2 linked regions of the Oryctolagus cuniculus genome follow. The protein of the gene in region 2 binds, or shares a complex with, the protein of the main gene of each other region. Links are inferred from orthologs where the notes say so. Each region holds a gene or a part of one and is shown on either strand. Other genes may lie near its edges.

The links.
Region 1: the proteins of STAT2 (region 2) and IRF9 are in contact, whole or in part, in a crystal structure (PDB 5OEN), measured with the Mus musculus proteins. The link is inferred for Oryctolagus cuniculus from reciprocal best matches to the Homo sapiens genes STAT2 and IRF9. Residues at the interface, in NP_064347.1 of Mus musculus: Arg163, Gln164, Lys166, Asp167, Glu168, Asp170, Val171, Phe174, Arg175, Thr177, Val178, Phe179, Leu181, Lys182, Asp188, His190, Gln191, Gln193, Gln194, Leu197, Thr201, Lys204, Met208; in NP_032420.1 of Mus musculus: Leu206, Leu208, Tyr212, Leu233, Asp234, Arg236, Ser244, Glu245, Ser246, Ser247, Met248, Asp270, Arg271, Leu274, Val275, Ala276, Asn278, Ser279, Arg280, Phe283, Val284, Gln285, Leu287, Cys313, Glu315.

What each region holds. Positions count from the first base shown.
Region 1 is NC_091443.1:51,021,077-51,035,763, forward strand, and holds the end of IRF9 (interferon regulatory factor 9), read right to left. Parts: intron 14,578-14,687; coding exon 14,394-14,577; intron 14,157-14,393; coding exon 14,026-14,156; intron 13,949-14,025; coding exon 13,840-13,948; intron 13,740-13,839; coding exon 13,668-13,739; intron 13,117-13,667; coding exon 12,775-13,116; intron 11,875-12,774; coding exon 11,759-11,874; intron 11,628-11,758; coding exon 11,556-11,627; 3' UTR 11,196-11,555; downstream 1-11,195. Other genes in the region: IPO4 (importin-4), read left to right, coding at 36-244, 348-480, 555-659, 1,160-1,229, 1,324-1,454; meiotic recombination protein REC8 homolog, read right to left, coding at 1,761-1,852, 1,946-2,052, 2,124-2,255, 2,374-2,440, 2,690-2,738, 2,844-2,977, 3,071-3,137, 3,375-3,521 and 11 more.
Region 2 is NC_091442.1:59,164,211-59,179,134, forward strand, and holds the start of STAT2 (signal transducer and activator of transcription 2), read right to left. Parts: upstream 11,720-14,924; 5' UTR 11,495-11,719; intron 9,129-11,494; exon of another isoform or gene 9,083-9,128; 5' UTR 9,078-9,082; coding exon 8,947-9,077; intron 8,502-8,946; coding exon 8,348-8,501; intron 8,026-8,347; coding exon 7,930-8,025; intron 7,767-7,929; coding exon 7,677-7,766; intron 7,586-7,676; coding exon 7,510-7,585; intron 7,378-7,509; coding exon 7,292-7,377; intron 7,139-7,291; coding exon 6,990-7,138; intron 1-6,989. Other genes in the region: APOF (apolipoprotein F), read right to left, coding at 12,604-13,545. UniProt on the Homo sapiens protein: Signal transducer and activator of transcription that mediates signaling by type I interferons (IFN-alpha and IFN-beta).

The sequences.
Region 1 (14,687 bases), on a different chromosome or scaffold from region 2:
GCTGATCTGCACTCCTCCCCACCCACCCCCGTCAGAAACAGGGCTGCTCGGTGGCCGAGAAGTCCTTTGCCGTCGGGACTCTGGCGGAGTCCATCCAGGGCCTGGGCTCGGCCTCAGCTCAGTTTGTGTCCCGGCTGCTGCCTGTGCTGATGAGCACCGCCCGGGAGGCAGACCCCGAGGTACGGAGCAACGCCATCTTTGGGCTCGGCGTGCTGGCAGAGCACGGGGGCCGCCCTGCTCAGGAGTATCCTTGGCTTGCCGAGCACACATTGAAGGTGTGGGAGTGTCCCCAGGGCTCAGGGATGGGTGAGGTCTGCGTGTGTGCCCATTCCTTGACTATGGATCAGACACTTCCCCAAGCTGCTGGGGCTCCTTTTACCCCTCCTGGCACGGGAGCGACAAGATCGTGTCCGGGACAACATCTGTGGAGCACTCGCCCGCCTGCTGATGGCCAGTCCCACGAGGAAACCAGAGCCTCAGGTAAGGGAGGGGCATCAAGGCCAGGGAGGGACGGGGAGGGCAGGGCAGGTGGCCTGAGGCTTCCGTGTGTCCAGGTGCTGGCTGCCCTGCTGCACGCCCTGCCACTGAAGGAGGACCTGGAGGAGTGGGTCACTATAGGCCACCTCTTCAGCTTCCTGTACCAGAGCAGCCCTGACCAGGTACTCGATGCTGGCGTCTTGGTACTAGGCGCAGGATGACAGTCTCAGTGTCCTTAGCCCTGTCTGGTTTGTCTGTGAGTAGTGGCAGCCTGTTCTGCGGAGGGAGAGGCGATGCTTCCTTCCTCTGAGTGTGTCTCCTTCAGCAGCTCCATTTCTACCCTCTGGTGGAAGCCACAAGTTGAAGCTTTCCTGGGCTGACTTCTAGACAGGGCTCACTGGGCTGCAGTTAGAAAGAGCCCTGGGCACCTCATGTATCTCAGCTCAAAGCACGTAGCTAGATTCGGCCAGATGTCCTGGTGTTGCTGTAGCACGCCTGTGGTACACCTGGAGACCACTGTGCTGGGAACGCCCTTGCTTTTGGAGGGCGGGGCGGGGTGAGATGTGTGACCACAGCGATGCTTAGCCACCTGCCCCATGGCTGCTTCTCTGTTGTTGCCTTTAGTGCCTGTGAGGCAGGCCCCAGCTCAAGCAGCCCTGGGGGACACTGCCTGTCCTTACAGGTCGTAGATGTGGCTCCTGAGCTCTTGCGCATCTGTAGCGTCACTCTGGCGGAAAACAAGATCCCACCAGGTGAGGGTGGCTGGCGAGGGGGTGGCGGGGCTCCAGAGCTTGGGGCAGCCAGGGCTTAGGGGCCTGGACCTCTCCCTCTGCACTGTCCACCCAGACACAAAGGCCGCGCTGCTGCTGCTCCTGACGTTCCTGGCCAAACAGCACATCGACAGCTTCCATACAGCCCTGGGCTCACTGCCAGCTGACAAGGCTCAGGAGCTCCAGGCCCTGCTGGGTTTCAGCTAGACTGCAGGCTGCAGCCAGGCCCGAAAGAACAGAGCCTGCCCAGGACCTAAGGTCACCTCTCAAGCCAGCTCCAGCTTGCACCTTACCAAAGAGTCGATCTCCTTTGAGTCAGCCGGCTTGCTGCCTTACAGGGGTGTCCCTGGAGCTGGATTTGTCACAAGTGGAGTCATGACATCATACCGTAATAAAGGCAGCTTGTTTTCTGCTTGGACAGAGGTATGTGTTCAGAAATGAAGCAGGCAGGGCCCAGTGAGGCAGAATATGGTTTAATGGAGCTAGTTTCCTGGCAGCTTTGTAAAATGGGCGTTACCCTCGGTAGAACCGGGGCCCTGGCTGGATCAGGAGGCGCCCGTACGGCTTCTTCTGTTCCACATGCAGTATCTGCTGCGCTGCGAGCACTGGTCAGGAGGGAGAAGAGGGCAGGCAGGAGTCCCCACATGGCCCTGTGCGGGGGGCTCACCACCCCGTGTGCACACACGGCCAGCACTCACCCAGGAGCAGGTAGAAGACCTGCGCAGCCACCCTGCGGGAGCTGAGCGGGGACACCAGGCTGCTGAAGTCAGGCTCCCGCTTGGCCCTCAGCTCCAGTGCCACTGCCCTGTAGGGATGGAGAAGGGTGAGCAAGGCCCCAGCCTGGCCCTCCCCACGGAGGCGCCCCCACCCCAGCACCTGTGCACAGCCTCCAGGGACAGCAGCTCAGGCTCTGGTGGCAGCTCGGAGGGCATCTCCAAGGGCACCTCTGGGAGCTCCGGCACCACCGGCAACGCCGGGGGCTCTGGCTGTTCCATCTCAGCCCAGGCCCTAGGGAGACATGGGAGTTGAGTGGAGCTGGAAGGCGGCGCTGTGGCTGGGATCAGGGCACGCCCATCCTAGCCGGTGGCTACACTGCAGGCTGGGCCTACACAGCCTGGCTTCTCACCAGCGTTCCTCTGGGGGGATGAGGCTGATCCGCGACTTCTCCTCCTCGGCGGGCTCCAGGGAGAGCTCTGTGGGGGCGGCAGGGGGCCCAGGGGAGTGTGACTGGCACTGAGCAGTCTGCCTTGGGGCACCCAGCCAGACCAGCTGTCTGTGCTGTGTGCTGCCTTGGGAAAAGCTGTGTTCTCTCTTATCAGCGCTTTCCCACAGGCTCGGGAAGCCCCCTCCGGGCGGGAGGACTGGAGAGTGCCCTGCGTTAGTTCACCCCAGTCCCTCACAGCTGGGCCACGGGCGGGCCCAGACCCCTCCCCCGAGCTTACCTGAAGACACCATGAGGGGACCGCTGGGCTCCTGGGCTTCCCTCAGGACCTGGAGACGGGAGGAGGAGAACTCAGACCCCGGCCTCACGAGCGTCCGGGGCCAGTGAGCCTGCAGCGTGCGCTGGGCGGGGGCGGAGGGGTGGGGTGTGGGTACCTCGATCTCACTGACAGCCTCAGCCCTTCTCTCCTCTTCCTCCACCTCCTCGGGCGGCCTTCGCCTGAGCGCTCTTGCGGGGGTCTGGGCACAGCGGGTCCACAAAGCCAGTAGTTCCAGGGGAAGCCGGCCGGCTGATGGGGAAGGGGCAGTGGCGACAGAGCCCTGTCACCAAGAGGGAGGACTCGGTCCTGAAGAGCCCTGCGCCCAACCCCCGCCCTCCTTACGGTACGTCGGGGTCCGGAGCAGCTCCGTGGGGCTTGTGATGGTCCTCTCCGGAGGCTGCACCATGGGCTGCGTGGTGGCAGGAGACAGGAGCCTCAGGAGCAAGCCACGCCTCGGCGCCCCTTCACCTACCTGTCCAGACTACAGCCTGCCTGCCCTGCTCGTGCTAAAGGACTACCGGGTGCCTGTGAATGTGCCAGGTGGGGCCGCGGACGCAGCACGGCAAGTTGTGGAGGTGCAAACCCACATCAGGTTCCCAGGCCCCGCCCCCAGCCCACACCTGTGCCCTCCCAGGGCCGCACTCACACACTCCCAGCAGTGGGCCCTGGTCTGCAGCTGTTCTTTGAATTTTTCCCTGGAGATCTGAGTCTCCTTGTCCCAGAACAGTAACTGGCGGCGGCGGCGGCGGCGAGCAGGGGGACTCCTGGGAGATGGGGGCCCTGGGGGCCTCTTCTGCAGAGCGGGGAAGGAAGGGGCCACCAGGCGTCATTCCCTTCCTGTCACCCTGGTGGCTGCTACAGCTCCACGCTCCGCCCACCCCCTTAAGGTGCCTGGGGGAAGGGCTAGGGCACGGCCGCCCACACGTGCGGCTGACACCTTGCATGAAGGGACCAGCTGGGACGTGCAGGCCACATGATGGGGTGTGGAAAAGCAGCATCCTGGACTGCTCTTCAGCCAGGCCCCAGGGGAGCCAGCAGTGTCACTGGGCTTGGGGAAGCAGCTCTGGGAGAGGAGGGACGCTGAGGAGGAGGAACACTCACCTTCGGGCTGGGTGGGGGCGGCAGACGTAGCTCTGGCGATGGGGTCACCTCTGTAACAACACCGGGGTCATGGTTCTGTCCTGCCCGCCCCCGCACTGTCGTCCTCCCTTTGGCAAGTGGACGTGTGGCCTTGTCTGCAGCAGCTGTGGTGTCACTCACCCATGGGTGGGGCCCCGGGCTCCCAGGCTGCCAGCTTCACCTCCTCGGGGACCAGGACCGGGACTGGAACTGGCTCTGCTATCCCTTCCACCCTGGGAGACAACGGGCAAGAGAAGTCAGGCTGCCCGGCTGCCCTAACCAGCACGGGGCCCGCCACCTGGTGCAGGATCCCTGCCCTTACTGGACGGGAGCTGGAGGCGAGAGAGGGGGCACTGTGATGTCGCGCTCTGGGGCCCGGGGCTCCTCCACGGCCTCTGCAGAGAGAGGATCAGCACTCAGGGGCGGAGGCCACGGGAGCGCTGCCCCGTCCCAGGCTGCCCGAGCCAGGGCTCCCACCTTCCGGTGGTGGGCGGGCCCTCAGCCTGGCCAGCCGTCGCTCCTCCAATAAGATAGCTTCGTCTTCCTCTGCAATGAGGAGGTCCAAGTCTCGGCGGCTGACCTCCGGGAGGTCCCGTTCGCCCTGCAGGGAGAGGACGGGCAAGGGGTGTGGCATGCCATGGGGCGGGGCCCCAGGAGACAGGGATGAGGCCAGGGAGATGGAGAAGGTCATGCTGGGGGCCACCTCACCTCAATATGCAGCATGCGGATGGGCTCTGCTTCCTGGAGGGTGATGACCTCAGGGGGCAGCACTGTGAACAAGATCCTGTCTGGTGGGACTGGGGAGTCACACCCACCCCACCATATCTGTTCCCACACTCACGGGACTCGAGTCAAGTCCACCTGGTTCTGGGCAGGCCCAGGCCAGTTACCAGCGGCCCAGCCCTGGGTGCTCACCACTGTTAGGCTCGCTTTCCTCACCGGTAAAGTGGGGTTAAGGATCCTGACCTCACAGGACTCTGGTGAGGCACAGAGGAGGTGACACACACACACACGGGCCTGGCTCTTAAATCCAGTCATTCCTTCAGTGGTCGGCCCTTCCTGTGCCTCTCACCAGAAGTTCTCTCTGCTGACCTGGCTTCCTGGGCTCTGCAGGGACTTCAGGAGGGGCCTCCTCAGGCATTCTTTCTGGAATTGCAGCCTCTAAGAGGTGTCGAATCTTCGGAGGAGGATGGGGAGCAAAAGAGGACAGTTCAGCTTCAGCCCCCCGCTTTCCCACTTGTGCAACAACAGGCAGTGGACAGTGATCTGGTGCCCTTTATGCCCAATTTTGTTTGTTTTTAAAGATTTACTTATTGGAAAGGCAGAGATACAGAGAGAAGTAGAGAGTGTGATCTTCCATCTGCTGGTTCATTCCACAAACGCCACAACAGCTGGGGCTGGGCAGGCCAAAGCCAGGAGCTTCATCTGGGTCTCCCACATGGGTGCAGGGGCCCAAGAAATTGGGCCAACCTCCACTGCTTTCCCAGGTCCATTAGCAGGGAGCTGGGTCAGAAGAGGAGCAGCCGGGATGCGAACCAGCACCCATGTGGGATGCCAGCACTGCAGGCGGAGACTTAACCCCCTATGCCACAGCGCTGGCCCCTACGCCTAATTCTTGTTGCATCGCCAGCAGCATGCAGTGAGCCCACTGGCTGTCTGGTCTGCTTTCCTCCTTGCCCTCACCACCCCACCTCCAGTTCTCTAGCCTTTGTCAGTGTGTCTTGTGCAAGAAGCACTATGCCCTATGTGAACTGCTGTGAGGGACCGAGGCAGGGAAACCAGTTTGTATATGACCCCAACAAGAGTCCATGCAAAGGATCAGACAGGCCCCTGGGAAAGTACTGAGCTGTACTGAGTTCCTGAATAGCACTGGGTTCTGTTGGGAGGGGGATGAAGACTTCATGAAAGCAGATGGCACTGTGGCATAGCAGGTAAAGCCATGTCTCGGCTGCTCCACTTCCACTCTAGCTCCCTGCTAATGTGCCTGGAAAGCAGTGGAGGATGGCCCAAGTGCTTGGGCCTGTGCTGTCACATGAGAGATCCAGAAGAAACTCCGGGCTCCTGGCTTTGGTCCGGCCCAGCTCCAGCCATTATAGCTATTTGGGGAGTGAATCAGTTGATGAAAGATCTCTTCCTCTCTATGTATAACTCCTAACATTCAAATAAACAAATATTAAAAAAAAAAAAAAGACTTCATGGAAAAGGTAGCCTTTAAGCCAGGTCTGTAAGGATTTACAGAGCTTGAGCAATAGAGAATGGCCAGTGACCATCATGGACTAAGAAATGTGGCATCTCTGGGATGTAGGGACCAGACTGGCATTTGGGAGCCAGGGGCCGTGCTGAGACAAGCTGGGATGGCTAGGCCTGGACCTCAGCATGGAGAACCCCAGCTGCTAGTGTGCAGCTTGCAGTTGGAAGCTACTTCGAGCAGGGAGCCAGGGAGAGGGGGCACAGCGTGAACCATAGCAGTGTCGGGAATGGACAGAGGAGGACACGGGCAGGAAGCCCAGGTGGAGATGATGAGGGTCTGGGCAGTGGGGGTAACGTGGAGATGAGTGGAGTTGAGACAGGTTGGCCTTGAGTAGCTAAGTCGAAGGCCCTCTGCCTGGAGGGTCCAGCATGGCGGTGCCCCTGCACCGTGCCCTGTTGGGGAGAGCTGTGGCAGGCTCCCTTTCCCCCACCCCAGGGTCAGACTGGCACAGGGGCAGGACTCCCCATCTGCACGGTCAGCTCACAAGTCTGAGCTGTTCTGGGCCAATGAGCCCTACCTGAGGGATATCAAAAGGGCTGGGCAGTCTGGGGTCCACAGACATGACCCCAAAAAAAGGGTCCGGAGCATCTTCCAGGGTCTCCATCATGGTCAGGTGGTCAGGAAGCAGCAGGCTGGGTCTGGGAGAGAATGTGGGTTAACAAGGCCCAAGGCTGAGCAGGCCGATGCTTCCCCCAGGGCTGGGCGGTTCCAGCCCTGCATCGGTGCTCACAGTTCAGGCTCGGCCATGTCGATGCGGATCTGCAGCTGGGCCCGGTGCAGGCGCTCCAGAATGTGCTGGATGTCCTCTGTGGGCAAGGAGGGCAAGGTGGAACCAGCACAGGGAGGGCCTCTTGGCTCTGCCTGCCACTGGGGTCTCCAGCCTTACCCACGAGGTACTGGCATTGTTGGAAGTAGACCCGGATCACGCCGATCTGGAGCTGCGCTGAGAGATACAGGGAGAAGCGGGGCCGCGGCAGGCCGGGCTGCGGCGGTTGCACTCGGACCAGCACATAATTGAGAATTTCCTGGCTGCGGGGAACAACGCACCGTGACCACCAAAGTGCCCACGACGGCCCCCAGCCGTTCCCCTCCCCCCTTTCCCGGCCTTACCAGGTCTTTACCACGTTCACCTTCAGGTATTCACGCTTCACCAAGCGGCTCCCACGTGTCGCCGCCAGCCTGGAGGGAGCAGCGAGGAGCCGGGGCCGCATCAGACCTGGAGCCCCGGGAGCCCGTCCCCGCCGCCCGGCCGGCCGCGTCCTCACCAGATGGTGGCAAAGCAGCCGGTGTGGCGCTGAAGCACGTTGGGGTAGTAGAACATCGTCCCTCAGGGCTTCCCCGCCGCTGCGGCGATGGGATTCCAATCCTAACTCCTGGCACTGGCCTCCACAGGTGGCGCTGCGGGAGGACCCCAGAGCTACGCTTGGTGTACCAACGTGAAGGGGGCCGACAGGGCCGCCTTTCGGCGCGCCCTTAGTGGGTTCACGCACCGCGTACAGCCATCGACCTTACTGGAGCTCCGAGGGGAGGCCAGGCAGGGCTGGCAACCGGGCTGGTCCCGCAGCAAGCCTTCGTCCTTGACGCCGGGGAGAGACGCCGGGCTCCAAAGCCTTGGTCTCGGCCACCAGGGGTCGCCCTCGCGCAGGAGCGAGCCCCGCCGCGGGGTGGCAGCGCCCGGCCAGCCAATGGCAAGCAGGTGTCGGGTGCGAGCGCTCTTCCCCCACCGGCGCCAAGCAGGCTGCCTGGGTTCGAGGCCACAGGGTTGCCCAAGACAGGCACAGAACCAATCAGAAGAACCCTGCGCCTTGCCAGGGCCATTGTGAGGTGTCCTGACCAATGGGCTCTGTTTTTCGCCTCTAGTAACAAGGACTTTTGGGAGGCGCTTCCGGGCAGACCAATGAGCGGGGAGCAAACCCCGCTCCGACCCGCAGCAAGCCTGGTAACAAAGTGCAACTGGTCGTAGGGGAGGTCGGGTCATGCGGGGGGCAACCGCTCAGGATGGCAAGATGTAAGGCGGGCTCCTGACCTGGGTTTAGACCCTGCCCTGCCCCCCACTTTCCACCAAGTCCAACTCCGCGTGCCACTAGGGCCTGGGCTAGGGAGGTGGCGCAGGGTGGCCTTGGAGCCCCCGGGAGTCTATCTCCCCGGAAACAGCGGGAGACCCCGCCGGACTCACGGCCTAACCTGATCCTTCTGGGGTTGTGAATGTGAATGTTCTGCTGGCTGAACTAGACTTTAGCTTTGTTGGAAGTCCTTCTCCTCCTCCTCCAAATACCGTTCTGTCGCAAACAGTTGGTTTTGCATCAACTCGGGTTCTTTGGTCGCAGCTCCAAATAGCTCTTACTGCTGCACCTCCTGCCTTTGCACAGCCATTTCTTTGGCCTGGAATCCTTTCCCTGTCCTGTGCTTCTGCCCACGCCCTGGGCCTCGCTGCAGCGGAGCTGACCTGTCCTGCTGCAGTTCCCTTCCATTTGAGAGCTCTGAAGACTGGGGTCGTAATGTTTTCAGTGAGTGCCTGGCCTCCAGCGCAGCAATTAGTTGGCAAATGAATGCACAGTTGCCCTATATTTACAACTGCGGAAGGTCAAGGCTGGTCTGGGCCAGGGCCTGCCTTTATGGATGAGGAAACAGGGGTCCATGCAGATTGCTTCTTCCAGACCACACAGCTCCTCAGGGAGAGCCTGGTTTGGAACTCTCTGCTCTTTCAAATTCCAAAATCTTCCCAATCTCTATTCCACTGTGCTTGGCTACATCGCTTTGTCCGTGATACTTACAAATTGCTGGAATATTGTATAAAAGTTGTCAACATTTGTTAAGTGCTCAGTTTGGGGGCACAAAGGTGATGGAGTGGGGACATCTGCCCTTAAGGTGCTTAGAACCCAGTTTAGGAAACAAGGAGGGGTAGTGGTTTGGCACAGCGGTTAAGTTGCTGCCTGGGGAGCCCACAGCTTGTATCTGAGTGCCTGGTCCACGTCCTGGCTACTCCACTTCAGATCCAGCTTTTTGCTAATGTACACCCTGGGGTGCAGCAGACAGTGGCTCAAGTACTTGGGTCCCTGCCACTCCCATGGGAAACCCAGATTGAGTTCTGGGCCCCTGGCTTCCACCCAGCACGCCCTTGACCACTGTGGCCATCTGGGGATTTGACTAGCAGATGGAAGACTTCTGACTGGAGGCAAGCATTGTGGTGCAGTGCATTAAGCCACCACCAGCAGTGCCGGCATTCCCTATCAGATTGCTGGTTCAAGTCCTGGATACTGCACTTCCAATCCAGCTCCCTAATGCACTTGGGAAGCAGCAGATGGTGGCTCAAGTACCTGAGTTCCTGTCACCCTCGTGGGAAGCTCAGAGGGGGTTTCTGGATCCTGGCTTCAGCCTGTTCCAGCCCCAGCTGTTGCAGGCATTTGGGGAGTAAACCAGCCATGGATGATCTCTACCTTTCAAATAAAAAATGAAAATAAATGCAGGTGCCAGTATCGTGGCATAGCAGGTAAAGGTGTCACCTCCAACACTTAGTATGCCTTGTGGATGCCAGTTTGTGTCCTGGCTGCCTTTTTTTTTTTTTTTTTTTTTTTTTTGACAGGCAGAGTGGACAGTGAGAGAGACAGAGAGACAGAGAGAAAGGTCTTCCTTTGCCGTTGGTTCACCTTCCAATGGCTGCTGCAGCCAGTGCGCTTCAGCTGGCTCACTAGGCTAATCCTTCGCCTGTGGCGCCGGCACACCGGGTTCTAGTCCCGGTTGGGGCGCCAGTTCTGTCTCAGTTGCTCCTCTTCCAGTCCAGCTCTCTGCTGTGGCCTGGGAGGGCAGTGGAGGATGGCCCAAGTGCTTGGGCCCTGCACCCGCATGGGAGACCAGGAGGAAGCACCTGGCTCCTGGCTTCGGATCAGCGCAGCATGCCGGGTGGAGCGGCCATTGGAGGGTGAACCAACGGAAAAGGAAGACCTTTCTGTCTCTCACTGTCCACTCTGCCTGTCCAAAAACAAACAAACAAACAAACAAAAAAGTAACAAGAAAGCATGAAGAAGGCACTCAAGAAATGATGATGGTGTGTTTCAAAGTGGTGGTGATAGAAGCGACAGAAGTAGTCAGATTCTGGAGATTTTGAAAGTACAGTGATGGTGGGATTTGCTGAGGGATTGGATGTGGGGTATGAGAAAATTTGGAACTGATGTAGGTAATTTAGATCTTGCACAAAGAAGGTCTGGGAGTGATTTCAGTGCGCTGGGGGGACCATGGGCTTGGGCACCAGATTTCTTCCTTACCGGTGCAGAGGTCTGTTTAGGCTCTTGGCTTCCCAGCGCGTGGCGGACAAGACTGGAGGGGAGAAGGGAGAGGGGTCTGAGGCAGCAGTGAAGCTCCTCAAGAGGGACAGCACGGAGACCCTGGGAGGACCGTGAAGGCGTCTACACTCGGTCACTTGGGTGAGCTGCTGAAAGCTTATGGGTGACATGACAGGAAGTCTGGGGAGCCAACCCGTGTCCGTGCAGGAGGGGAAGCTCCAGGCTGTGGCGAACAGGCAGGTGGAAGCAGTCTGGTGGAACTGAGCCTACAGGAAGTAGGCGCCACGTGGCCTTGGGAAGGGAGCATTTCCAGTGTGGTGGCAAAATGAACGCGGGGATGAGACGGGCAGCCCTCCCATCTCAGTGAGCAGGGTGTTGGCGACGTGAAACTCGGCCGCACTGTGTTCTGGGGCTCCGGTGCGGAGAGAAATCCACTTGGGAGCTCCCGTCTATCAGCTGTGCTGGGGGAAGAAGCACAGAGGCAGGAGTGGCAAGCAGAGGAGGGGCAGCGACTCTTCCCTGCAAGGCCCCCGCGCCTCAACAAAGAACTGTGGAACCCAGATTTTCCCATGTGAAGTTGGTGGCTACAGCGCCTGGGTACAGGCTCAGCACCCCCCTTGACGGTTGCCATCAGTCCTCTCCCTAATCTTGGTTGCCTGGAGGGCACCTCGCCAGGCCCAGAAGCACAGAGCCAAGAAGAGGACAGGGGCCTCAGAGAGGTCAGCAGAGGAGAACTCAGGTGCCCTGCCCCTAAGTCTACATCTCAGTCACGCCCGTCGCCCCTGCCACCTTCTCCTCCCGGCAAACTGAATGCTGATTCCTCTTTCAATAAAATTTTATTTTTAATTCTTAGTGAAGACCTAGGAAGAAAATATAAAGTGCTTGGCTTTAGAGTTGAGGGTTGAGGGAAGAAGGAGAGGCCCCCTGAGTTCACATCATTTGGAATTTCCCAGTCCTTTAGAGATGAAAGAGGGTATATTTCAAAAAATGTGTTTAAAATAAAAATTATCCTTGAGCTCTCCACCAGCCACGATGTGAGGAGTTCAAGGACGTAACTACCACAGCACTGAGAGTGATCAAGAAGGGAGGCACTGACCAACAGTGCAGACAACGAGTCTGTTTCAAGGGAGACAGGAGTGGGAGCGGAGGGGTGGGGCAGAAGGTGGGTTCCCATGCCCTACACCAGGGACAGAATGGCTGCCTGCTCCTCTGGGGTCTCCAGTAAGTGTCGGGCAAAAGCTTGCTCCATCTGCATCAGAAGAGACGGGAAAGAGGCTGTGAGCGAGTGCAGCATGGCAGGTGCGCCCCGCAAGGAGCTCCTTCCCTGAACTCTTTCCCGTCCCCATCACCCAAGCTACTCTGTCCGAGCTCTGAACTCACCTGCACTGTGATAAGACTCTGTGCAGTGTGGCTGGGGCCGGGGCGCTCCTCCCAGAAATTCAGTGTCACCTGGAACTTGGGTGGGGGGCCCAGGCCCTGGAGGTACCTGGCCAAGTCTGAAAGAGAAAGGATCGAGGGTTGGAGGAAAGAAGAGAGAGGAGTGAGAACCACGGGCCGGGAGGGAATAGAGAGGTGGGAGGGGCCACCAGGAGACTAAGCTGCAGGCTCAGGACGAAGGTCGGGCACGAAGCTGTTACTCATCTGTGAGCAAACAGGAAGGTGGGGCCCTGCCTCGAATAAGTGTCTGGAGGCAGCAGACCTTCCGCACGACAAAGGCTCGCCCCAGCCAGAATTGAGTCCTCCACGACAGACGCCCAGCTGCCAGCGCAGATGTGCTCCAGCTTTTTTCGCTTGCTCACTCTCCCAGTGCTGAGGCATCCACACCCTGGGAATACCCACACCCCAATTCCCCTGAACTCTGGCCTGCCCTGAAGGTCAGGTTTAGTCGAGTGGGCCTAGACCTGGAATTCTGAGTGGATGGGAGCTGCAGACAAGCTTCAGGGATGCCTCGAGTGTAGCTGAGACAGGCATAGCTGGGGCCAGGGTGCGGCAGGTGTGTCCGCTCCCCACCATGTGCCAATGCTTCTGCAGGCCAGCGCAGATGTGAGAGGGCTGTGAGGTTCCCAGTGCCCGTGCTGACCTGCCCACACCTCTGCATAAGTAGCTTCAGGGTGACGATAGTGCTCCCAGAGAAGCAATGCTCTTGTACCAGGCTCCACCCCAATGCCATCTTCCACAGCCTTGACGGGGGAAGGAGAGGGGCCAGGCAGCTGCCAGCGCCGAGCACAGGACCACAGAGGAGGTGCCACAACGAGTGCAGGGGTGCCCAGCACAGGCCGCAGTGGGGAAGCTGCTGGCTGGCAGGGAGGAGCAGGACCCGCCAGGTCAGCCCAAGGCCTACTGAGGGGCCCGGGTCAGAGGGTAGGGGCTCAGAGGCCCAGCCGGAGCAGCCTCACCTCTGCAGAAGTAGGCAGTCTTGAAGAGCTCCACACACTCATTGCTGGGCAGCAGATGCAGGCCTGGCCCAGGCGGGACCTGCGGTGCATCCCAGGAGACGAAGACGGGGCAAAGCCGCTGAGCAAAGAGGCCTCGGGAGTTGCTGGCCACCAGGAGGCCTCGGTCTAGCTGGCTCAGCAGGCGCTGGGTGGGCTCCAGGGGGTCAGGCTTGGGAAACACCACCTGTTCCATGTTCCTCTCAGAGCTTAAGGGCTCGGCCACGAGGCGGCAGTCGAGGCTGTGCACCCGTGCTTCACCCACCACACGCCCGTTGTAGATGAAGGTGAGCAGCAGCGAGTAGTCTGGGGACAGAAGAGCCCAGCTGTACCTGGTGCCAGAGGGCTTCACGGCTGGCAGCCCCTCTCCAGGGGCACCTGGCCCGCACAAGGCTTTAGGGAAAGGAAACGAAGCTCCTTGCAAATCCAAGGTTCTCATTTTGCTGCTGAGGACAGAGACCCAGGAAGGGAAACCCAGCCGGAGAAGACAAGGCAGGCCAGGAAGCGGGGGTGGCAGCCTCTCCTCATCATCATTCCCCGGGCTCTCTCACCAACCGGGGGCTTCCTACCACTCAGGAGATAGCTAAGGTCCGTATCCACCCTGAGGTCTTATGGTTCACAACAAGGTCCCTCAAGGCGGGGCCTCTGTTTACCTCAAAGAAATCAGGTCTCCATACGGATATCCAGGCAACAGAGTTCACAGCAGTGTTTCTGAGGAGCAAGCTTTGTGGAGGCTGGCACCTCTGCCTATGGGAGAGTTTGCTGCACGCCCTGACTGGCTAGATAACGCATGCGTGGGGAGGGGAGGAAGGCTCCAGGAGCACAGAGAGCAAGAAAGATTCAGAAATGCTAAGAACCTGGGTCTGGAGGGAGCAGAAGCTCCGAGGCCACCATATCCCCTTGCACAGCAGCCTCAGTTACATTCGCACCTGGAAGGAAGGCGAAGGCACCGGTCAGAGTGGGGCTAGGGAGCCCTTGGGCCAGTAGCTGTGGCAAGTGGGATGACATAAGAAGCCCGGGAGGTGGTACCTTCCTGTGGCTCTGGGCTGCCACCGCCGTTGCTACTGCTGCTGCTGTTCCCGGCGTCTGAGTGGTTTGCTTCCCCAGTGGCCACCATCTCTGCCTGCACACACAGTACCTGTCACTGGCCAATCTCCCCCAGTCCTAGGTACTCTCCTGCCCCCAGGCCCACCCAGCTCCCTCGCCAGTTCTCACGTTATCCAGGGAGTCCTGGAGGGAGGCGGGATTGACCATGCAGTTGCTTGTGATACCCTCATCTTCCTCCCTCTCAAAAGACACAGAACTGTGGTGTCGCCTTGATGCTGATTTCCGGGTCCCTGGCTGGGCTGTGGAATTGTTGAGGGGGAGAGAAAAGTCAGGTGTTCAAGAGGAAAAGAGGGTGAAGGGCTGAGGGAGTGAAGGGCTGGGCAAGACTGGGAAGGGGAACTGGGAGCAGCTCTCCAAGGGCAGGGTCAGGGCAGAACTGATAGCCTCCGGAGGCCTGCCACCTTTCCAGAGCTCACATCTCTGTCCTTTCCCCTGGTCTGCTGGTTCTGGGCGTGGCTGGGCAAGGGGACACTCACCAGATGGAGTTCCTGGTGGCAGCAGCCGATACACCTTGTAGGGCTCAGCAACATCCATTCGGCCTCTCTTGGGAACCTCCTCAAATTCAGAACTCTTGTTGAGGGCACAGCGCAGGCGAGTCTTCCAGGCAGCAGGGCCTCCTGGGTCTCCCTCTTTGTACTTGCCTTTAAACATGGCCCAGGCCTACAGAGACCAAGTGAACAGGAGGCTGCACATTACAGAGCCCGGCTGCACCTCCCACAGGGCTGGCTCACGGGCTTGTGGCCTGAGCACTTGTGCAGGGCCCCTGGCTC
Region 2 (14,924 bases):
TAAAACTGAGGTATAGAACAGCTAAGTGACTTGCTCAAGGCCTTAAAACTACAATAGTAAGGGATAAAGATTTTTTTTAAAGATTTATTTATTTATTTGAAAAACAGAGTTACAGAGAGGCAAAAGCAGAGAAGAGAGAGAGGTCTTCCATCCACTGGGTCACTCTTCAAATAGCTGCAATGGCCACAGCTGGGCCAATCTGAAGCCAGGAGCCAGGAGCTTCTTCTGGGTCTTCCGTGTAGGTGCAGGGGCCCAAGGACCCAGGCCATATTCTACTGCTATCCCAGGCCACAGCAGAGCTGGATTGGAAGTGGCGCAGCCAGGACTTGAACCAGCGCCCATATGGGATGCTGGCACTGCAGGCAGTGGCTTTACCCACTACACCACAGCACAGACCCTGGGATAAAGCTTTTATGGGATCCTAGGCAGACAGGCTGCAGAATCCATACTTTTAACTCCGAACTTTACTGTCTCTACAATAAGTAACAATAATCATAAGCAATGTTGTAACAGGAAAACAATCATATACTACATATGATAAAATAGATTGGACAACTTTTCTGGGAGGCTGTTTGGAGCTACCTTTAAAAACATTTTTTGGGAGGCTGGTGTTGTGACACACTGGGTTAAACAGCTGCCTATGACCCCGACATGCCATATGAGTGACAGTTCGAGTCCCAGCTCCTCCACTTCTGATCCAGTCCTGCTAATGCACCTGAGAAAGCAGCGGAAGGCAGCCCAGGTGCTTGGGCCCCTACCACTCACATGGGAGACCTGGATAGAGTTCCAGGGCTCTGGCTTTGGTCTGGCCCACTCCTGACTGTCACAACCACTTGGGGAGTGAAGCAACAGAAGGAAGATCTCTCTTTCCCTCTCTCTGTAACTCTGCTTTCAAATAAATGAATAGGGGCTGGTGTTGTGACACAACAGGTTAAGCTGCTACCTGCGATGCCAGCATCCCAAACAGCCGCTGCTTCAAGTCCTGGCTGCTCTATTCCTGATCCTGCTCCCTGCATGAAGCTCCTGGCTCCTGGCTTCGGCCTAGCACAGCCCCGGCTGTTGCAGCCATCTGGGAAGTGAATGGAAGATCTCTTTGTACGTCTGTCCCTCTCTTTGTAATTCTGAACTTCAAGTAAATAAACATTAAAAAACTGAATAAATCTTAAAACAAAAATTTGGAAGGTAGTAGCAACATTGTGGCACAGCAGGTTAATATGCTGCTTGAGATGCTGGCATTCCACGTAAGTACCAGTTTGAGTCCCCTCTGCTCTAGCTCCCTAACACACCTGGACAGGCAGTGGAGGATGGTCCAAATACTTAGGCCCCTGCCACCCATGTGGGCAACCCTTTCATGGACTTCCTGAGAATGCCAATTGTGGTCATTTGGAGAGTGAACCAGCAAATGGAAAATCAATCAACCTTTCTTTCTCTTTTTTTTTTTAAGATTTATTTTATTCTATTTGAAAGACAGAGTTACAGAGCAAGGTAGAGACAGAGAGAGGTCTTCCATCTGCTGCTTCACTCCCCAGATGGCTGCAACAACTGGAGCTGTGCCTATCTGAAGCCAGGAGCCAGGAGCTTCTTCCGGGTCTCCCAAGTGGGTGCTGGGGCCAAAGGACTTGGGCCATCTTCTACTGCTTTCCCAGGCCATAGCAGAGAGCTGGATTAGAAGAGGAGCAGCTGGGACTAGAACCGGTACCCATATGAGATGCTGGCACTTCAGGCCAAGGCTTTAACCCATTGTACCATAGCACCAACCTCTCTCTCTCTTTCTCTCTCTCTTTGTCTTCCTCTTTGTTACCTTGTCTTTCAAACAAATAAATAAGTTTTTTAAAGTGTGTTCAGGGGCTGGCATTGTGGCATAGCATGTAAAGCTGATGCTGCAATGCCAGCATCCCATACGGGCTTCATGGGATATATGAAAGCATCCTGGCTACTCCACTTCCAATCCTGCTAATGGCCTGGGAAAAGGAGTAGAGGAGGGAGACCAGGAAGAAGCTCCTGGCTCCTGGCTTCAGCCTGGCCCAGTGCTGGCAGTTGCGGCCATCTGGAGAGTGAACCAGCGATTGGAAGATCTCTCTCTTTCAATAGGCTAACCCTCCGCCTGCGGCGCCGGCACGTTGGATTCTAGTCCAGGTCGGGACACCGGATTCTGTCCCGGTCGCTTCTCTTCCTGTCCAGCTCTCTGCTGTGGCCCGGGAGTGCAGTGGAGGATGGCCCAAGTCCTTGGGCCCTGCACCCATGTGGGAGACCAGAAGAAGCACCTGGCTCCTGGCTTTGGATCAGCACAGTGCGCTGGCCGCAGCACACTGGCCTCAGCGGCCACTGGGGGCTGAACCAACGGAAAACGAAGACCTTTCTCTCACTGTCCACTCTGCCTATCAAAAAAAAAAAAAAAAAAGATTTATTTTTTTTTAAAGGCAGAGTTACAGAGAAAGGGGAAAAGACAGATCGAGAGAGGGAGGGAGGGAGGGAGGGAGAGAGAGAGAGAGAATAATTAAATCTTAGAAAAAAAAAAAAAAAAACAGGCAGGCTGCAGTTTGTCAACCCCATACGGATAGATACACTCACAACTGAAGTTTAAGCGCTGGCTGCGTACCTGGTTTTCAACTTACATGGACAGTTGTGGTACATTTCTATTTATTTTTAAAAATATATTTATTGATTTTTTAGGCAGAGAAACAGAGGTCTTTCATCTACTGGTTTACTTGCCACAGCCAGGACTGGGCCAGACTAGAGCCAGGAGCCAGGAACTCCTTCCTGGCCTCCCACATGGGTGGCAGGGGCTCAAGCACTTCAGCCACCACCTGCTGTCTCCCAGTCTGCATTAACAGTAGGCTAGGGGCCAGTACTGTGGTGCATTGGGCTAAGCCTCCAACTGTGGCACTGGCATCCCATATGGGCTCTGGTTTGTGTCCTGGCTGCTCCTCTTCTGATCCAGTTCCTTGCTGATGGCCTGGGACAGCAGTGGAAGATGGCCCAGTATTTAGGACCCTGCACTCCAGCAGTTGTGGCTCTTTAGGGAGTATACCAGCAGATGGAAGACCTTTCTCTCTGTCTCTAGCTCCACCTGTCAAATAAATAAAATCTTAAAAAAAAAAAAAAAATAGGCTAAATCAGAAGTGAAGCAGCCAGGACTCAAACTAACACTCTGATATGGGATGCCAGCATCGTAAGTAGTGACTTAACCCCACTGTACTACAATGTCAGCCCCTGATACATTTTTAAAAGTTTGAATTATAATGAACTTTCTTATGAGAAAATACTTTTAAGTGTAGGTGTTAGTAAAATGGCAAAGTCTTATTATCTGTGGTGCCATTTATGCCCCGGGCGCCATCTTATCCCTGGCCTTGGTCACCAAGCCCCATGGCCCAACCACTAATGTCAGTTCCAACCCCACACCCTAATGGGATTTGCTTCCCTGTCCCCTGGCAAAGGTTTAACAGGACCTGCTTCCAGCATGCATGCTCTCTCTCTCCTGATTCCTCTCTCTCTTAACTCTCTTGCCCTCTCCTCCTGGCCCATCGGGCTTCCCTTACCTGACAATAAACCTTTCCCTTAATCTGTGTTTGGTGTTTTGTGGCGACCTTACAGTAGGTATTTTTCAAACTTGTTGAATGATATAATAGTGATTTATTTACATATTATAAGATTACTATAGGTCTGCACTGCAGCTCACTAGGCTAATCCTCCGCCTGTGGCACTGGCACACCAGGTTCTAGTCCTGGTTGGAGTGCTGGATACTAGTCCCAGTTGCTGCTCTTCCAGTCCAGCTCTCTGCTGTGCCCCGGGAAGGCAGTGGAGGATGGCCCAAGTGCTTAGGCCCTGCACCCACTTGGGAGACCAGCAGGAAGCACCTGGCTCCTGGCTTCGGATCAGTGCAGTGCGCTGGCCGTAGCAGCCATTTGGGGGGTGAACCAACGGAAGGAAGACCTTTCCTTTCCTTTTTTTTTTTTTTTTTTTTTTACAGCAGAGTGGACGGTGAGAGAGAGAGACAGAGAGGAAGGTCTTCCTTTGCTGTTGGTTCACCCTCCAATGGCCGCCGTGGCCAGTGCACTACGGCCGGCGCACCATGCTGATCCGAAGGCAGGAGCCAGGTGCTTCTCCTGGTCTCCCATGGGGTGCAGGGCCCAAGCACTTGGGCCATCCTCCACTGCACTCCCGGGCTAAAGCAGAGAGCTGGCCTGGAAGAGGGGCAACCAGGACAGAATCCGGCGCCCCGACCGGGACTAGAACCCGGTGTGCCAGCGCCGCTAGACGGAGGATTAGCCTATTGAGCCACGGCGCCGGCCAGAAGGAAGACCTTTCAACTGTTTCTCTCTCTCACTGTCTAACTCTGCCTGTCAAAAAAAAAAAAAAAAAAAAAAAATTACTATAAAATAGTTTAATAGGAATAAAATAGTAAGAAATAGAAAATAACCTAAATGTATGTATGGGCTGGCACTGAGAGCATGATGGGGCCAGCACTGTGGTGTAGTGGGTAAAGCTGTCAACTGCACTGTCGGCATCTCATATGGGCACCGGTTCGAGTCCTGGCTGCTCTGCTTACGATCCAGCTCTCTGGTATGTCCTGGGAAAGCAGTAGAGGATGGACCAAGTCTTTCAGCCCCTCCACCTGTGTGGGAGACCTGGAGGAAGCTCCTGGCTCCTGGCTCCTGGCTTCAGATCAGCACAGCTCTGGCCGTTGTGGCCAACTGGGGAGTGAACCAGTAGATGAAAGACCTCTCTCTTGCTGCCTCTGCCTCTCTGTAGCTCTGCCTTTCAAATAAATAAATAAATCTTAAAAAAAAGAAGTAATGTGATAAATATCATAATATATTGCTAAGTTAAAACAAACTAACAGGTTTCAAAATAGCATGAACAACATGGATCGATTTCTAATGAACTACATCTGGGTGGTAAGATAACAGGTCACTTTCTTGTTTGGGATTGTACAAGGGGTCTTCAGAAAGTTCCGGAGGGGTGAGCATTTTAGCCTAGTGGTTAAGAGGTCCACGTCCCACATCAGAAACTGTGTTCGGTTTCTGCTCTAGCTCTTGACTCCAGCTTACTGCTAATGCAGACCCTGAGAGGCAGCAGTGGTGGTTCAAGCAACTGGATCCTTAGTAACCCATATGGAGACCTAGACTAAGTTCTAGGTGCTCAGCTTCAGACCAGCCCAACCCTGGCCACTAAAGGCTTTTGGAAGATGAACCAGCAGATAGGAGCTCTTTCTATCTGTCTCTGCCACTCAACAACACCCCCCAAAGTTATGGAAACGTAAATAATGAAAAAAAAAGCATGCATCTCAAAATTTTATGCACCGAAATAATCTTGTTTTTCTTTTTTCTTTCTTTCTTTTTTTTAATTTGAGAGGCAATAGATACTAGAGTGAGATGAATAGAGAGACAGAGCTCCTCTCTGCTGGTTCACTCCTTAAATGCCTCTCCCTGCAGTAGCCAAGACTGGGCAAAGGCTGAAGCCAGAAGCTGGGAACTTAATCCAGACTATTTCATATGGATGGCAGGAACCCAATTATTTTAACCATCATCACTGCCTCCCAGGGTGTGCATTAGCAGGAAGCTGGAATCAGGACTCAAGCCTGGACACTCCAATACAGAATCCAAACTGGTAGTCTAACCATTAGGTCTCCCCTAAAAACTGCTCTTTTAATTCCATTTTCCAGGGCTGGCGCTATCGCGCAGCGGGTTAAAACCCTGGCCTGAAGCGCCAGCATCCCATATGGCCGCTGGTTCAAGTCGCGGCTGCTCATCTTCTGATCCAGCTCTCTGCTGTGGCCTGGGAAAGCAGTAGAAGATGGCCCAAGTCCTTGGGACCCTGCACCCACGTGAGAGACCCAGAAGAAGCTCCTGGCTCCTGGCTTCAGATCAGCACAGCTCTGGCCATTGTGGCCATCTGGGGAGTGAACCATCGGATGGAAGACCTCTCTGTCTTTACCTCTCTCTGTAACTCTTTCAAATAAATAAAATAAAATCTTTTTAAAAAAATGTCTCCACACACACACACAAATTCCATTTTCCATGAATTTTAAAAATACCCCTATATTCACTGTACTGAATTTAAAAAAATAGAAAATCTAGGGGCCAGCACTGAGGTATAGTGGGTAAAGCTACCACCCATAGTGTTGGCATCCCAAGTGGGTGCTGGTTCAAGTCCCGGCTGCACCACTTCCAGTCTAGCTCTCTGCCTAGGAAAGCAGTAGAGGATGGCCCAGGTCCTTGGGTCCCTGCACCTATGAGGGAGACCCATAAGAACCTCCAGGCTCCTGGCTTCGGATTGGCATAGCTCCGTCCACTGCGGCCACTTGGGGAGTGAACTGGCGGATGAGGAACCTCTCTCTCTCTCTCTTGCCTCTGCCTCTCTGTAACTCTACCTTTCCAATAATAAATAAATCTTCTAAAAAAAAAAAGAAAATCTATTTAGGCAGTGATTTAAAAAATGAGAAGCCAGGGACCAGTGCTGTGGCGCAGCGGGTTAACGCCTTGGCCTGAAACACGGGCATCCCATATGGGTGCTGGGTCTAGTCCTGGCTGCTCCTCTTCCAATCCAACTCTCTGCTATGGCCTGGGAAAATAGTAGAAGATGGCCTAAGTTGTTAGGCCCCTGCACCCGCATGGGAGACCTGGAAGAAGCTCCTGGCTCCTGGCTTCAGATCGGCGCAGCTCTGGCCGCTGCGGTCATCTGGGGAGTGAACCAGTAGATTGATGACCTCTCTCTCTGTCTCTACCTCTCTCTCTAACTCTGTCTTTCAAATAAATAAAATAAATCTTAAAAAAAAAAAAAAAAGTCAGGTTATGGATTAATCCACTACTTTGACCAAAGCAAGGACTGAGCTGTGGGCTCCCTGGGTGGTGAGGGTGAAGGGCGGAGTAGAGCTGCAGTGAGCTGGGATCATTGTGGGGAGCAGAGAACAGCGGGCGACATCTGCTACATACAGGGCTATCTACAACTTGCACGGCAAGGACCAGGGCTGGGGAGGTGCATCTCACCACTTCTCCAGCTGTTGCAGCCCAGGCTGCTGGAGGGCTCCAATGCAGGCTTTTTGCTGCTGGGCTTTCCACTCATCCAGCTCCGGCAGCAGCAGGTCGACGAGGGTAGTCAGTCGGCCTAACAGTGCTTTGGAGTCATCCAGCACCTCCTGGAAGAGAGACAGCAAGAGTGCCGAGTGCCTCTCACCTGAAGCTTCCACCATGCAACTGGGGATGCTGAGAAGAAGCAGCCAGGACCAAGAGCCCCCGGGTCCCTCCCATTTTCTCAGTGTCCTGCCCCCCCCCCCCCCCCCCCCGCCCACCTTTCTCCTTTTGTCCAGTTCATTGAGGGTTTCTTGCAGTAGCTGCTGCTGTCTGTTCCAATGAGGATCCGAACAGGCTGCCTTCCCTGAACGACAGGAGCCAGAGTCAGTCAAGGGGCTCTCTCCCCTCTACTTTCTGGCTACCTCTTAAGAGTCAAGGTTGACTTTGACTCCCTGGAGCTTTCCCCTCCTGTTCTCCCCCATCTGATGTTCCCGACCTTGGGCCTGTGTGTTGTAGCGGAAGCGGAAGACGTCCTGCAGGTCTGCCAGCTGGCTGATGGACTTCACCAGCTTCTGCGGAGGGGATGGGGTCCCACTGAGGCTTGTTTTGAGGGAGGCCACAGAATAAGCCCTGCCTGCCCCGTCTCTTGCCACACTGACCAACCTCCATCATAGCCTTCAAATCCAGGAGCCGGGACTCGATATCATGCTGCTGGCTCTCCACAGGTGCTCCCAGAGCCGGCTGGCCTGGCTCCTGAAACAAGAGACTGAGCATATTTCAATTCCGACCTTTGGGCCCTGAGGGCCAGACCTGAAACTATACCACAGAATATAGTGGGGAATCCTGTTCTAAGAGTCCTTCTCACGGTCACTCCCTACTCCAGGAGCTTCCAACACCACCAGCAGATTGTTCTTACCATCTGGGCCCTCTGAGCCTGATTCAGAATTTTTTCTTCTTCCAAAAGGAGGTTAAACATCATTTCAGCCAATTGGGTAGGGCCTCTGGGGAAGGCCTAGGGTGGGAGAAGAGGAAGGAATAATCTAATTCGACCCCTCTTAGTGTCCTGCCACCCTTGACCCTCCCCACACTGTCCCCTGTAGTTCCCCCTCCTTCAGGGTCCTGGCCATTTCCCTTTTCACCATTGGGTTTCCTAAACCCGGCCACCCTCCCGATGGTGTCATCTAGCCTCTGTCGCAGATTCCCCAACTTCATGTTGTGTTCTTTCCCCAGATCCATGCTCTTCTCTTTGTACTTCCAGGTACCATGCTATACCCCAAACCTTACTCTACACTTGGCTTCCAGTCCTACCCTATAGTCTCAGCTTCTCCCAGTACCTGAAGGTCCCGGTAGAATTTTCTCAAGTTGTGTTGCAGCAACAAGCACTCAGGGTCTTGACTGCAGCGGCCACACTCGAAGTTCACTTGCTCCAAGAAGTGGAAGAACAGCATGGTAGCCTTAGAATCATCGTTGCCCAGCACAGCTTCTCGCCTGGGGGCCAGGAACAGCATTAGTGTCTCCACAAGGTTGCTTCTGCCCTGAACCCTCCCAACCTCTTCCTGCTTTTGACATCTCCAGGATCTTAGGCACTCCTAAGAAAGAAACAGGGGCTGGCATTGTGGCAGCCCCTATCAGAGCACTGGTTCGAGTCCCAGCTGCTCTGCTTCCAATCCAACTCCCTGCTAATGCGCCTGGGAAAGCAGTGGAGACAGCCCAAGTCTTTGGGCCCCTGCATCCATGTGTGGGAGACCCAGAAGAAGCTCCCAGCTCCTGGCTTCGGCCTGGTCCAGCCATAGTCATTGCAGCCATTTAAGGAGTGGACCAGTAAATGGAAGATCTCTCTCTCTCTAACCCTGCCTTTCAAATAAATACAGTAAGTCTTAAAAAAAAAAAACAAAACCCTCCTTTATCTCCTCCAACCTACTGAAACTCTCACCAGTTCTGGTCTTCAATCCAGGCAGCCAAGTGCTGTCGAATGTCCACTGGCAGGAGGCTATGTGAGTACAGCTGGTGTAGCAGATCCTGATATGGGCCGTCCAGATCCTGCAGCATCTCCCACTGTGCCATCTGGGCTTCGAGATGGAAGGATGCAAGATTCCAACTGAGTTTTTTGCAGGACTAAATTGTAAAAATCATACTTATTACATATAAAAATTGAACATATTTATGGTACTATGTGATGTTTCAGCATATGTATATATATATTAAAAACATTTACTTAGTTTAAGGACAAAGTAAGAGAGAGGGAGAGTAGGGGATCTCCCATCTGCTGGCTCACTCCCCAAATGGTTCAGAAAATCAGGTCTGGGACAGCTGAAGCCAGGAGCCAAGCACACCATCCAGGTCTCCCATGTGGGTGGCAGAGGCCCAAGTATTTGGGTCATCATCTGCTGCCTTTCCAGGCACATCAGCAGGGAGCTGGAACAGAAGCAGAGCAGCCGGCACTCAAACCAGCACTCTGATGTGGGCTGCTGGCATCGCAAGCAGCGTCTTCACCTGCTGCACCACAACACCTGCCCCACGTGTGTATGGTATGCAAAGTCCAGTCAGGATAAATTGATTACTAACTTAAAATATTTTTAAGCATTTATTTATTTCAAAGCAGAATGGCAGAGACAAAGAGAGAGACAGAGATCTTCATCTGCCAGTTCACTCCCTAAATGACCACAACGGCCATGGCTAGGCCAGGCTGAAGCCAGAAGCCTGGAACTCCCATGTAGGTAGCAAGGGCCCAAGTACCTGGTCCATCTTCTGCTGCCTTCCCAGGTGCAGCAATAGGGAGCTGGATCAAAACGGGGTTTCAGCCAGGACTCAGACTGGTGCACAAATATAGGATGCAGGTGTTGGGGGAGGCAGCTTAACCTGCTGCATTACAACTCTGGCCCCATCAATTTAAATAAAATAGTACAAGGCATCCATGTACTTATCATCCACCCTCAAGAAACATTAATATTCCTACTGTCTCATTTCACACCCTCTTTATTTTGAATTTGTTTGTGATCATATGTGTTTATACTGGAGTAAAGATCGATGTCAGTCCTAAGTATTTATTACAGCATGATCCCTGCTGGCCTGGTGCTGTTTTAGGGGATGAAATCTTTTTGGAGATCAAATAAATGTTCCTCAAACTGCCCTCCAGGTAGGAAGGACAAATTCCACGGTGGAAGAATGTTAAATACTTTGCCACTCTGTCTCTTAGACTCGGACACTTTTATGGCCTCATTCAATCTCGGCTCTCCATATGGATTATCAACTTTGGGAAGACTCAGAAATCTCACTTGAAACTCCTTTTTGTCATGGAACAGGTTGTGCCTTGTATATTTCCCCCCACCTTTTTGTGGCCACAGCCATCTTATATCTTTTCAGGAAATTAAAACTTACTTCTTGTTGCAGCTTGAGCCTAACAGAACTGAATAAACGGGCACATCTGTGGTCTAAAAATGTCACCTGCTTTTATTACAATGCATGAATTAACACCAGCTGCCCTTCTAACTCAGGCAGAAGCTCCTAATTTTCATTTTAATTCTTCCAGTAAAGTTTGAATTTTTAACCTATGCATCTCTACTGCTTTTAAGAAATTTAAATAATGATAATAAATTTAAACAATGAGGAGGTCATTATTCTGGAGGAACTAAAAGGCTTATATTAAAGGAACAAGATTTAAATATGAAAACAAACAAGCAAAACAAAACCTGATCTCCCCAGATTGCAAACATCGAGGTAAGTGACTGTAATACATTTTTTGGCACATATTTTGCACTCAACAAACTTTTCTGAAATGAAATGGATTTTGCGTGTTCCCTTAAGCATATCATTTTGCACTTTAGTTCTTTGTACCTTTTTATGCAACAAAGATGATAAAAAATATCTATCTCTGGACACTTTTTTGGTAAGGATCAAAAATAATGCAGCAGGGGCAGAGTTGTGGTGCAGTGAGTGATGCTGCTTGTGTTGTCGGCATACTATATCAGAGCGCCAGTTCTGGTCCTGGCTACTCCACTTCCAACCCAGCTCCTTGCTAATCCCCGTGGGAAAAGCATGCCAGGATGGCCCAAGTGCTTGGGCCCCTGCCACCTACGTGGAAATCCTGGATAGAGTTCCTGGCTCCACGATTCAGGGGCTCAAACATGGTTGTTGCAGTCTTTTCAGGGAGTAAAGCAGTGGATGGAAGAAATCTCTCTCTCCCTGTCACTCAGACTTTCAAATAAATAAATCTTTCAAAAAATAATGCAGTGCATAGGCAAATACGTTGGACATCAAACCAATGCAATAATGCTAGGTGCCGGGTCTCGGGCAGCAGGGGAGTTTTGACAAAGGGGCGTTAGGGTTGGGGAGCTAGGCTGGACGGACAAGAGCGAGAGACCCCGCACGAAGACAGCTCCTACTTCAAACCGAGGACAGAAGTTGTCCCCAACGGGGCGCACCCCCTGGAGCCAGCCGCTCTTACCCCACCTCTTCCTCGCACACCCTCTCAAGGCCCATACCTGTGAGGGTCGTAGTCCCCGCTCCTTCCAGTGGCTCAGGACGCGACTTTCCGTCCCCTGAGGGAGCTAGATACCAAAGTGTACCGCCCACCCACTCACAAATTCCGTCTGGCACCTGAGCCCGCCCCTTCCGAGTGGGCTGGACCGGCGCCTGAAGACCCGGGGCTCGAAGTCCCCAGCCGGCGCCTCGACGCGGGCTGCCACTCCACCGAGCCTTCCCCCAGGCTGCGAGCTCATTGGCGCTGCCACAAATCCGTCCTCTCCGCAGGGCGGAACAAACTGCGCCAGAACCACACCTACAGTTCCAGTGATTGGTCAAGACGCCCAAGTAGGTCCCACCCCGCGCCCGCGACGGGGAGGAGTCCAATGAGCGGAACAGCCGGGGACTCAAAACAGCTGATTTTCGAGAACCCGCGCCGGGGCTGGAGAACCGAAACCATCTTGAGAATTCTGGAAGCACTAAAAACTCGACCGGAAGTGGTGGAACCAGAAGTTTAACTCTTTGGGAGTGGAAGGGACACACTGAGGTAATGAATCCCAAATAATAAACAATTTATTGTCGGTACCCTGATTGTCAGTTTCCACTGGAAAAAACTCTGCAGGTGAAAATTATTCCCACCTTAGACATTTAAAAACCGAGTTTCCAGAAAGGAGTTACAAGTCAGTGATCGCAGGCACTAACGAGAGGCGCTTGGGCTCAAAGCAGAATCCTTTTAATTTCCTACGTTTTGGGGCCCGCGTTGTGGCGTAGTGGATCAAGCCGTTGTCTGCAACGCCGGCCTCCGCGCTCCCTGCTAATGCCCTTGACAAAGCAGCAGAGGATGGCCTGGGCCCCTGCACCCACCTGGGAGACCTGGATGAAGCTCCTGGCTTTGACCTGGTCCAGCTGCAGCCGAGATGACCGTTTGGGGAATGAACCAGTGAATGGGAGATTCTCTCTCTGCCTCTCTCCCCCCATAACTCTGCCTTTCAAACAAATGCATAAATCTTGCACTGCTTTCCTCCAAGGTAATACTTTTGAATTTGGGGTTTGAACACATGCACACATGCACAACGTGTCAGAATACACAACGTGTCAGATTTATTCATTCTGTGGTTACCCCCTTCTTTTATATCACAAGGTTCCCAGCCTCAGGATATGAGTCATAGCTGTTGAAAACCTCCCACTGCCTGTAGGGAGCTGAATTCAGCATTTCTGAGCCCAGAGGATCTGTGGGGGTTGTTTCCTCCAAATCACTCACATCCAAGAAGCCTCCCAAGCTGTCAGTGCCAGTCTCTGGTGGAGGAGTGTTTGCCTCTTTCTCACTGTGATAATACTGAATCAGCTTCTGAACCCCGGCCTTTAGTGCGGGCTTAAGTGCAGCACTGATGGCTAGACCCATGGGCCCCCCTGACAGCCCAGCCATGGCCATCAGAAGGTCATAACCCAAATCTATGGCCCCATCCTGGCCCCGTTCATGGGCCTTGTCAGAGCAGTTATGAGCAGCATAATACAAAGCTGTGCCCAGGTTGTAGTAGGTTCCCACTCCCGGCAAGAGCCGGACAATGCTGTACACACCTTGCTCCCGCTCATTCTCACAGTTCTCACGGGGGAGGGAGCGTCGGGCCCGCTCTGGGCCTGCCTGCTCCTGGGCTAACAGCTGCAGGGCAGAGGCCAGGGCTTCCACGGACACTCGCCTCTCTGTGGTTCCGCCTTCCTGGAGCTCTTGAAGATGGTGGATGAGGATCTGGGTGGCATTCACACCGCCCCAGTGGTGGAGCTGCCGTTGCACGGCCCGTGCTTCAGCCTGGCAGCCCACTTTATCCAGGGCGCTCCTTAGAGCCAGGCCTACCAGGAACTTAGGTAGAGGGGCCAAGTGGTTGAAGCCAGGCAGGGACTTTGGGAGCAGGGTCTGGCAGGACAAGGAGCCTGAGGAGGGCGACTGGGAGGATGAGGGAAGGTGCTTTGAGACATTTGTCGGCTTTGCATGGAGAGTGGCATCCACAGAGTGCAGCAAGAGGTAGCAGAGAAGCAGCTCCACTGGCACCATGACGAATCTGAGGCCCCACATGTCTGGAGCGGAGTTCTCTGCAAAGGGGAGAGACAGAGACCGTGCAGACGTTTTCTGTACCAGCCGTGGTGCGAAAGGAACCCAACACTCAGTGGACGCTCATCCACCACTTACCTCCACACTTCTTTTCACATAAAGACCTAGAAGTAGAAAAGTCAACCCCGGTGCTCCCACATGGTCTCCCCTCTGTTCAGGTCACCAGGGGCTTCCTCTGTTTTACGTCCACCCACTTATAGGGGCCCCACATCACCACACAGCCCAGTCACTGATAATTGAGACTGCCTTGATAGGCTGGTTGCTCCCATTCTGCCCAATTCTCTGTCCCGTGAGGAAGGGGGTATTTGCTTTCCCCCGTTATCAGTAAGGAATGCAATCTCTACAAATATTTGCTCATTTCTATCGGGTGTTCAGACCTTGTCCCCTGGTCACACACTCACCGTCAGTACCTGAGACCTTGTTCTTCGGTGTCTGCTATCTGCCCCTGCCACGTTTCCACTCTAAGCTCCTGACAGAAGCCAGGGAGACTCAGAATTAGGAGCAATTTAATGTTTATGATTCTCTTATTTTTCAGTTTAAAAATTAAGTTAGCAAACTATAGCATCAGGTTGGGTACTTAGGAAGTTCAGGGAAGGTGGATGAGAAAAGGTTAAAATAACCTCCTATGCATAGCACATGCTAAATGCACAATATTTGATGATTTAAAGAGAAGAAAGGTGGAAGAGAAGAAATAGGGGCTGGTGGGGCAGCTGCCGCTTGTGATGCTGGCATCCCACATCAGAGTGCCGGTTCCAGTCCTGGCTACTCCACTTGTGATCCAGCTCCTTGCTAATGTGCCTGGGGAAGCAGCAGATGGCCCAAGTGCCAGGGCCTCTGCCATCCTTTTGGGAGACTTGGATGCAGTTCTAGGCTCTGGCTTTGGCCTGGCTTAGCCATGGCTGTGGCAGCCATTTGGAGAGTGAAACAGCAAATGAAAGATCTCTCTCTCTCTCTCTCTCGGGGACAGTGCTGTGGCTCAGTGGGTTAACGTCCTGGCCTGAAGCGCTAGCAACCTGTATGGGACCCCTGCACCCATGTGGGAGACCCGGAAGAAGCTCCTGGCTCCTGGCTTTGGATCGGCACAGCTCCGGCCGTTACAGCCAATTGGGGAGTGAACCATCGGATGGAAGACCTCTCTCTTTCTCCCTCTCTCTCTCTCTTCCCCTCACTCCCCTAACTGAATTTCAAATAAATAAATAAATAAATAAATATTTTTCTTTTTATTTATTTGAAAGGCAGAATGAGACACAGAGAGCGATATCTTCCAGCAAGAAGCTGGATTGGAATTGCTGAGTAGCCGGAACTCAAACCAGTGTCTCTGATACAGGACACAGGAATCCCAA